Saccharomyces cerevisiae S288C: one gene and its partners. The gene in region 2 interacts genetically with the main gene of each other region. Each region holds a gene or a part of one and is shown on either strand. Other genes may lie near its edges. The genes, in order: PAU10, FAT1 and ELO3.

Region 1 (3,025 bases), on a different chromosome or scaffold from region 2:
AAATCAAGAAAGAAGGAGGGCAAGAAAGTCTTTTGTGTGAATTTTTACAGTCCATTTATTGTAACTTAGAAATCAAATTGTGCGACTGGCCATTGTTGCTGTATTTAATAATGTCGTATAACACTCTAAGATTCCGTAATGATTCAAAAGCAGAAATTCGTTGGCTCTAGAGTCTTAAACAACTTACGCAACTACATATATTCATGATTCAAACAGAATGTACCTTTAAAGGTTAGAAATACGACCTCTAATCTGCTTTAAGCAGATGATGCAAGTGCCTTCATGTGGTTAATATATGTGCTATCGTATTAAAAAAAGTTTCCCTTCTCACGTGTCAATAAAGCATCACGAAAACATTCAATACTAGTGTTTTTCGCACAGAAACTTGCCAAATAGGCACCTTTATGCAGCACAATAATTAAAAATGCCCAACGTGACACATTCCAAGGTAATTTTGAAAAATCGTAAGCGCCATTCGTGAAACAGAATAGTGTTACACCCGTGAGAGTAATAGCGAAGTCAACTTAAGCAGATATTGCTACTTTAATCCGCTTATGCTGAATCCATATTCATCTTTTATCAGCTTTGGACGAGAAATTAGTTGTCTTTTAGGCAATGTTCGTGAGTAAGTTGGAGAAAAGATCTGTTTCAAAAGAGTCAACTTGAAGTAATGTCTCAAAAAAAAAAATGATAGTATTGCTTGCTCAAGTGCTAATTATATCTTTTCCTTGACAAAAGTACAAGTTATGCGTCTCCATCGGAAGTATTTTAAGTAGAAATATTAGGTACCAAAAGAAGTAAAAAATTAAAGCTATTCTTATTGGGTCACACTGACTTAAAAATTAAAGGAAAATATTTAATTGCATGTTATTTTGTTTAACTACTATCTTACTTCCACTGGTCCACCGGACCCTCAGGCTTCCTTGCCTTGTGGAACCAGTTTTTTTCTATCGAGAGGAAATTCTCCAGTCTAGTGATATTCCATATGAGAATGGAACACAGGTAAGCAAGGCAGTGGTGCTGATTAATGCGTTGAGAGTGCCAACAGAAAGAACAGAAGCTTGTTTGGGCAGGATATGTACAAGAATGAGGAATTTTTCTTTAACAGGGCTAATTTTGTAGTTTTCTTTTGAGCGATACTTAAATAGCATTTTAGATTCAGAAAAAATGCGTTGCCTAGTTATTGAGCATTAAACTGCGCCCATAAATTCAGGAGGCACTACCAACCCCTGCCACAGAATATTTACTAGGTATAAGTGTTTAACAGTTGCAAGAACCAAGCACATAGATGAAATTATTCAACAGAAGATTCAAAACGTAAAATAAAAAATATTAGCGCCATCCACTGGCCTCTGTACTCTTTTCTTTTCTTTCTTTTTTTTTTTTAACAAGAAAAATGGTACCCGGGTATCGAAGATGTTTCATTACACAAAACCTTGGCACATGATTCAATTCACCCTAACATCAATTAACTCTATTCGAGAAACATGTGCAGCTAACTGTAGCTACCTCGTTTATATATCGCATTCATTCTTGATTGTGGTATCTAATTTCGAATGCCTTAGTGATAGTGAACGGCATCGTAAGCTTCCACGGGTAGGTACGACTCTCAGTACATCATTGCTATTTCACTTCAGCTTGGGAAAAGAAACTGTAACATTATCCCGCGGCAATCGTTTAGAGCATACTAATATAGGCTAAGACAATAGCTTCCGAACGAGGGTCCTTGAAAAAGAAATATGACAGGCACGTAAAAGGGTTCTTCGAAGGCACATGGCGCCCCTATAACGTCGATCTTACATTGCACGCATACGAATACACATTGGCGCCGCAAAACATATCTTCATATACGAAGTTTGTGACGAATTCACGAATCGTTCAAGGACAGGTGCATTTCTATAGTTACGGTGGATAAGGTGTGTTAGATGAAATATGTAGGATCTTGAGGTGAGAAAAGAGTGTCAGTCAGTGGCTCGTTTGGGCAGCACCAGCTGGTGAAGGAATTTGTATAAATAGAGCAGACTTGACCGCCTGTCTTTGTGAATATGCAGTCATTTTTTTCTTCCTAGTAGGGCTTATATCAGCACTAAAAAACAAAACAAATACAATGGTCAAATTAACTTCAATCGCCGCTGGTGTCGCTGCCATCGCTGCTACTGCTTCCGCAACCACCACTCTAGCTCAATCTGACGAAAGAGTCAACTTGGTTGAATTGGGTGTCTACGTCTCTGATATCAGAGCTCACTTGGCCCAATACTACATGTTCCAAGCCGCCCACCCAACGGAAACCTACCCAGTTGAAGTTGCTGAAGCCGTTTTCAACTACGGTGACTTCACCACCATGTTGACTGGTATTGCCCCAGACCAAGTGACCAGAATGATCACCGGTGTTCCATGGTACTCCAGCAGATTAAAGCCAGCCATCTCCAGTGCTCTATCCAAGGTCGGTATCTACACTATCGCAAACTAGAGACAAACGCCAATTTTACGAACGGGTTTCCATAGACATTGAAAATGAACGAACAAAATAAAATAAATAAAAAACTACTTTTTTTTGATGATATAAATACCGTAGATTATATAAATGTATATTAATATTATAAACCTATTTGATCAATGACAGTGTTCGTGAAGCATTTTATGAATACGATGAACATAAGAAAGAAACTTTTACACTATTGTAGAAAAAGCGTGGACGGTAATAAAGCTAACAGAGTATTTCCAATAAACAATAATGAAATTGGAAACGTATGACTTCGCAGCACTTTGTCTTTCCATAAAAATGTGTCGCTGCTTCTTTTTTCATTTTTTGGCGCGTCGCGTCGGGCCGTATAGAATATGCGTCACTTCTAAGAACAAGACTGCAGATCAGGGCAGTGCGAGTTACAAGTCATGGTACCAAACTCTCATTTGGAGATCCTCATTTTTTGACACCTAAAATATTAAGATTTATGGTTTGGGATAGTTTTTTGTAACTGTAACTAGAAATAAAGCTGAGGGGTTAGTGTTCTACCAAAACTAAGAT
Region 2 (3,762 bases):
AACCAGCTCTACCTTCATATTTAGGTACTTTAATACCAACAACTAGAACTTGTGCATATTGTTCTTTGTTACTGGCCGTCAACTGATCTTCTACTTCAGTAGTGGAAACATTTTCAGATTTCCATCTGAAAGTATCACCCATTCTATCAAGGAAATACCATAATCCATATTCGTCCGCTTTTAATAAATCTCCACATCTATACCAAGCATCGCCACGTCTGAAGACATCCCTCACAACTTTGGACTTTGTTTCCTTGGCATTACCAAGATAACCTTGAAAAGATGTTTCTGGTTTTTTAGGGAAAAAGATTCTCATTAACATTTCTCCTGGTTCGCCAACAGGGGCCACTTCGCAGAAACCCTTGGAATTTCTATATATAACGGAATCGTCATTTGGGTCCATCCTTACCAATGTTTGTTGGAATGACAAAAACCATTGAATTATAGTACCATAGTTCCTACATGCGCCAATTCCAAAGTCACCTTTCTGGAAGGTAGTTGTAGCAAAAGGAGCTTCAGTTGCGGCATAGAATTCACCAATAACTTCTATGTTGAACCTCTTCCTGAAGTCCTGCCAGATGTCAGGTCTCAGCCCGTTACCATAAGCAACCTTCACCTTATGCATCTTTTCATACTTAGAAATTGGCGTATGTAACAGGTATCTACAGACTTCTCCGACATATTGGATGTGCGTGGCTCCTGTTAAATAAACTTGCTTCCAAAATGTACTGGCAGAAAATTTATGCGATAACGCAAGGCAACCACCGTGAGATAGAATGGCGCACGCACCTAATAAGGCAGCAGTTGAATGGAACAATGGCATGGCTGTGAACACAGTGCTTTCATTAGTCATATGTAAAACATGACCAAAAACTTGACAACCTACGGAGGATTTTCTCCAAGACATAATAGCGGATTTAGGCAAACCAGTGGTTCCAGATGTATAAATTAACATAGAGGGTTTAAAATCGGTCAAGCCTAGTGGTGTCCTAACGTTGTCTTGTTGTAAGAATTCCGGTGATTGCGAATTTAAAAGTTCATGCATTAAGTCTTGTTCTTCAAGATAGTTTAATTTAACATCAGGAAGTGCGTTTTTGATTTCTTCTTCCGATTCTCTGATCGGATTACTGGCATCAGGGTCAATAAATACCTGCGTAATATTGGAAATCTTTAGGGAGTGAACCAGCGGAGTGCCTTTAGTATTATAGTTTAAAAAAGCTGGAATAGCCCCAATGTTCCACAAAGAAAGCCATAAAAATACGAAAAGAGGTTTATTAGTACAATCGATTGCCACGTAGTCACCGGCCTGAACGTTATAATCAAAATGCAAAATATGAGACAATCTCAACACTATGTTATAAGTTTCAATATACGTAAAGGTTTCGAGTTGAAATTCTCCCTTTTCGGCCATGGGACGGGTGTAACTAATCGCTAAATGGTCACCATTTTGTTGGACCTGTTTAATAAATAAGTACCAGTTTTGAAACCTATGTCTTCTCACATCAATGATATAACAAAACACGCTTTTCAAAAAGTAAGGAATAATATACCAATCCTCCTTGTATCTATATTTACGGTCTAATTCATCAAAATAATTACCAAATAGATAACCCAGTGATTTCTGGATAGGGGTTATAATTAGCTTGATAAGTCTGAATAATAGCAGGAAAATCCTTGACAAGGCAAAGACAACAACCTGTATGGGAGACATAGTCGGTATTCGCAGCCTATTAAAAGTTCAACGATATAGAATTTGAATGATTTGGGCTTTTCAATTTAGTTTACGACTTTAAGGTCCTTATTTTTTTTGCTATAACATTAGTATTTATAAAAAATTTCTGGAGCTTTGTTACATTGCGCGAAAAACCCGCGTTCTATCTTTTTAGTCGCTCATCAAGGTGACAGTAAATAAAACAGACGGTAATGATTAGAGTTTAGGTAAGCTCATATTTTCTCTGTTGTTACTTAATTATCGAACGTTAAATTTTTTAAGTAGTTCATCACATTATATAATGTTAATCGTGAATTATATAAATTTTTTCTCCTTTTACTTTTAAAAATTGACATTCTGAAATATCCGCTCAAAACTTATATGTTTATTTGAGGATAAAACTAAACTTTGGAATGCAATGTAGATGAATCCGAAGAGTAGTTATTGTACCTATTTTGGGCACATGGAACATTATCAATTTCATCTTTCAAGCTTTTCCTATCCCTTAAAAATATTAACCATAAAACCACACTGTCTAAAAGGAGGAATGCAAAGCTAAACCAAGCCATTACTGCTGCCTTCTTGCCCTTCTTGACAGTGATTATATTCATACTTGATGATGGAACCAATCTGTAACTTGCATTTATCCCTACATGAGTCCACATCGCACCAATACCCCATGTCAAAACTATAGTTGAACTTAGCAACAGTAGAAATTTATTAACCGCTAGTTTGAATGGTAACTTAGGGACAGTTACATACAGAATAAATAGAAACATTAGGATTGTTAGGATTACAGTTGCCATCAAGACATATGGATGTATAACATTAACCGAAGTTAATTGGGCTAACTTCAAAATGTTCAAGACAACGCTTGATTGGGTTTTGGAGCTGGAAGATGCAATATTTGAGAGTTGAATTTCCAAGTCTCTGTATAAGGGAACCGAGCTTAAATTCTTTCTTGCATAGCAAATTGAATTGGAGAATGTAGTCATATTATTGTAAGAGCTATATTGGGAGGGAATGTTATCAATACAAACACCCATGTAACCGGATCTTATAATGACTTCCTCCAAGCCCAGAGTTGTATTTGATTTTTCATATGATTTCTCTATGATCGTATAAAAAGGTGAGTTGTCATCAAATTTATACTTCACTAGAAATGTTGACTGATTTGACGGGTTGTAACAGCCGATGAGAAGAAAAATCAAAAGAAATATTGAAATTAAATTAAAAGCTAATGCAAATATTCTGGGCATACGCTTGGTAAAAAACCAAATCATTGAGATTGCGACCATTTTTTTTTTTTTTTTTTTGTTTGTTTGTTTGTTTGTTTACTATAATTTCTTCTACCAAAGACAAGCAAGAACCTGAGATAAAAAACATTTAACAGACATTTTACAAATATATACCAATGTCTTTGTTATTTCAACAGCACTATATATTGTTTTCATTTTCTTGGTTCGTTTCATTGCTACTTAGCCATATTTTTTTTAACTGACACATACATGAAACCATCATAATCTTAATGGGAAAAAATCCTAAAGCGAGAAGGACTTTCAAAAAAAAAAAGTTTTAAAAATGTTATAATTTTTGTATTTTACCTGAATATATAGTAGTGTTTAGTATTTATTATCTTTCCTTTTCTATTTAAGGTATTCTTTGGATATATACTTCGTCTCATCAAGTCAAAATTCGTTTCATGTTCTACAAAAACAACGTCAAATAAAGAGGCAATGCAGGGTGATTTTTTTATCATCCCAAAGAGGAAGCACCAGTAATAATATCAACCAGTTCATTAGTAATGACAGCTTGTCTTGTTCTGTTGTACAAGATAGAGTAACGATTGATCATATCACCGGCATTCTTGGAAGCGTTATCCATAGCGTTTCTTCTGGCGGAAATTTCAGCAGCATAACCTTGAGCCATTGCTGTCAACATTTGGTTAGCCAAAGTATATTCAAACAAATCTCTTGGAACGTTTGCGTCCGTGTCGATCTCAAATTTGCCGAATGATGGGGATTGTTCAATGGTCTTGGCGTTAAAGATCG
Region 3 (3,700 bases), on a different chromosome or scaffold from region 2:
AGAGAATAATAACAGAGGACTCTATTATTGGAGAGCTAGAACAACCAATGAACTTCATTGAAGAGTTACTTGATATCCATGTTCCTGTGTGTAACGCGTTCTGGTCCCAATACTTAGATAATGATGCTGGGCCGATAATTAGAATTTTGTTCAAGATAATGCAATGTCAGTCATCTTCCTCCATTAGGGGAGAGTACTCATTTTTAAATGACTTCATTCCCAGAGTACATCCCGATTTAACTCAAGAGATTATTAAAATTAAATTATTCAATGATCAATTCGTGGCAAGTAAAGTGGATTACGACTTGGACACTTTACAAACTGCAAGTCAGTATCTTCCATAGGACATACAAAGGAACAAAGTCTGTTTGTTTTAAATTTTAGCTGCTATATAATTTTATTTTATAATTGTAATGTATCACTACTCCTCACTGTAAGCGTGCAATTCTTTGGGCAGCTAAGGAAATGATTAATCAAAATGGGAAAAACACCAAGCCAATAATCTATCATTTCTATAATAATGATTTCATTTATCGTACATATTTAATATAAAGAAAATGTTAACATTTAATTTTTTTCTTTTTCATTCGCTGTCAAAAATTCTCGCTTCCTATTTAAGCTTTCCTGGAAGAGACCTTGGTGTTAGAGGTCTTGACACCAGTAGAAGAACCGGATGCAACGGAGCCGGAAACTTCAGATTCCTTCTTGACTGTCTTTTTACCACCTTTCTTGTAAGATTGGATGTAGAAGGAAATAAACAAAAGCAAATAAGATGTTAGAATCAAATACCCATAAGCAGCAGCAGCCTGAGTACCATAACAAGTACCCTTGTTTGGTAAAATACCGTCCAAGTATTTGTGAGCATAGAATGTATAGGTAGCAAAGTAAACAAATACCAAGTCAATCAAAAATTGAATAATTTGGAATCTAGTGACCCATTGCTTCCACCAAACTCTAATACCACATGAACTCAAGAAGTAGTACCAGTACATGATAACGTGAACACCCAAGTTTAGTAGGATAACTACCCATTCAACAGAAGTACGACCAATTAATTGAGTGTAGCACAACAAAGCGGTGGCACCGTGATGGTAAGTGTGCAAAAACAATAACTTCTTTCTTCTCAAAACTAAAAACACAGTGTCAATCAATTCTACGAATTTGGTCAAATAGTTCAAATAGTAAAGAGTAACTAATTTTGGTGCGAAGGCTTCCTTAGAGCAGATAGACCAGAATAGACCGTTGTGATAAACCATAGGAACCAACTGTTCTAACATCAGCAACCATAAAACTAGAGAAATAGAAGTCAAAAACAAGTTGTGTATCTCGAAAAGCAATTTAAACTTTAATGGAGAGGCGTTCAAGGCGCGTAAGATAGCTTGGCCACCAAAGATAATAATGTAATAAACGATAATAATACTAACAGCATGATACCCGTTAGCCAAGAAAGTCTTATTGTGAATAAACTCGAATTGCTCAGCTGGATAGCCACTAAAGTATTCAAACACTTTGGAGAAAATTGGCCATAATTCAATACCGAATGGGTTCTCAATGGAAGGAACATGAACCTTCAAGAAACATGAAGAAGAAGAGTTCAAAGACTGGAACTGGTCGGCAACTGCTGCTATAACAGTAGATGTGGTAGTGTTCATGACTGTTTATGTTTCGTAAACAAACGGAAAAAAGCCGAATAAATAAACTAGAAGTAAGCTTGAAGCGAGTGAAGAGCTGTCAAAAACCAATCAATGACCAAATAAAAAGACACCAGATATGCGGAAAATACACAGTACCTAACTGGGGTAATAAGTTAAATAAAACTTCAAACAAGGCTAAACAACAAACAGAAGACTCCAGATAAATATTTTATACAATTATTTACTAAGAACCTGTGAAAAAAAAAAAAGACAAGCCAAATGCGTAAGCCAACCTTTTGTTTATTCACAGTCTGGAAAATTTTCTGAAAATTTTTCACTTTGTGGACGGAATAAAAACTTCGAAGCTTTGGGAAGAAAAATTTCGCGTTTTTTTTTCTCGCGTCATCAATCATTTGCATACAAATCCCTCTGACGGTGAATTATCATTATTATATTATAAAATTATTATTTATGTCGTTTTCCACTATTGTCATCAATGTTTATTATTCATAATTCTGCTCCTTTTACAACTTTAGTTATGCTTTTTATTCTAAAGAAAATAAGGAAAGTCTATATACGTTGCTATCTTAACCCCAGAAATCTAACGACGCAACTGTATCATACCCGCGATAATCCTCGTAGCAGTACAGGATTTCTTGAGTACTTGTTTGTAGAAGTCGAATCTTATCAGCAAGGACGCAACGAATTAATTCGCCAGTTTCAATCTTTCTGATCTCAATGAAGTTGCTGTCGAATGCCAAGATGTACGGGTACCAAATTGCAAATTTTTGGGGCTCTCCCTCCCAATGAATAATATGCGATTCTTTCTTTCTCCAACCCTGATTATTGACAAAGAAGGCAAATTCTGTGTAACACAGCAAAAACATATTTCCCACACGATAGATTGCCATTGGTTTCAAAGTATCCCTTAGTGCAAACTCTAATGATGTATCGGCCGGATCTAACAAGGATTCATGAGCATTCTGTGAAATGCTAACGATCTGAAAACCCTTTTTACAGCCAATGCATAGGTTGGCCTTGAGAAATGAAATAGAGACAGGTTCAGAATCAAAAATAACCTCGGTGATTTTTTTCTTGAGACTTTTTTTGTTACCGCTACCACTACCATTTTTTTCGGCCAATAATGGATGTTCATGCTCGAAGTACTTAATTGAATGCGATGAACTGTGTGCAGTCACGATTAATCTCTTACCATTGCAATCTCCTTCTGCGAAGAAACTCACATGATTGATCAGTTCCTTGTGATGCTTTTTGAAGAAAGATGTCCCATTACCTTCTGCTTCGATTAATGACAGCGGACAACTGTATAATTTTTTATCAATTAAAAGTATGATTGATTTGAATTCTTCTAATACAGCAATTTGAGTGATATTATTTCTTTGTACTAGTTGGATTGGAGTTGAAAAAAAAGCAGAGCTTTTATGTCTATGATCTTTATTCTGCTGTCTTTTAATGTTGCTCATATACAATCCAGAGTTCGTTGCAATCAGAAGTTTTCTACCCCCATCACAGGAAGTAACACTGTTAATTTTGTTGGTGTAATCGAAGAACCTATCGCTCATTTTCGTTACATTGAACATCTCCGTTTTGCTTATAATAGCTGCTTGTCCTTGCTTTATTTTTTCCAAAAGCGTTTGCAATCCAGCGTATTGCGCAGCATATAATGTAACTTGATATCTCTGCTTGGCACCGTAGTATAAGAAAGTTATTGCGTTTTTAGGATTACTCGTGTTGTATTCTGGTTGAATTACAGTTCCTGAACAATCTGGGTGGTCTCCAATATATTTCCTCAACGCAGGCATATCTTCACCTGGACATGCAAATAACAATGGCAATGGAATGGGCCTTTGGAATACCTTATGCTGGTGCCATTTATTAACTGCTTTGGCCTTTAAAAATAAGAGCATATTATCTAGAAGATAAAATTGTATGTCACCAACAACTGTTCCGTCCGATTTTGACAACTCCTTCCGTGATAGTATACCTTCATGTTTAATTTTTCTCCTTTCGTCATTTAATCCTAAATTAACGTATTCGTTTTTGAA

What was found.
Region 1: mutations in FAT1 (region 2) and PAU10 together harm fitness more than expected from each alone (negative genetic interaction), as found in Saccharomyces cerevisiae (2 studies listed by BioGRID).
Region 3: mutations in FAT1 (region 2) and ELO3 together harm fitness more than expected from each alone (negative genetic interaction), as found in Saccharomyces cerevisiae (6 studies listed by BioGRID, with this or other methods).

Annotation. Positions count from the first base shown.
Region 1 is NC_001136.10:1,521,142-1,524,166, forward strand, and holds PAU10 (seripauperin PAU10), read left to right. Parts: upstream 1-2,107; coding exon 2,108-2,470; downstream 2,471-3,025.
Region 2 is NC_001134.8:316,215-319,976, reverse strand, and holds the start of FAT1 (long-chain fatty acid transporter FAT1), read right to left. Parts: upstream 1,712-3,762; coding exon 1-1,711. Other genes in the region: FIG1 (Fig1p), read right to left, coding at 2,113-3,009; ATP3 (F1F0 ATP synthase subunit gamma), read right to left, coding at 3,467-3,762. UniProt on the Saccharomyces cerevisiae protein: Acyl-CoA synthetase required for both the import of long chain fatty acids (LCFAs) (C14-C18) and the activation very long chain fatty acids (VLCFAs) (C20-C26) by esterification of the fatty acids into metabolically active CoA-thioesters for subsequent degradation or incorporation into phospholipids.
Region 3 is NC_001144.5:865,306-869,005, reverse strand, and holds ELO3 (fatty acid elongase ELO3), read right to left. Parts: upstream 1,653-3,700; coding exon 615-1,652; downstream 1-614. Other genes in the region: VID22 (Vid22p), read left to right, coding at 1-344; Rho family guanine nucleotide exchange factor ROM2, read right to left, coding at 2,222-3,700.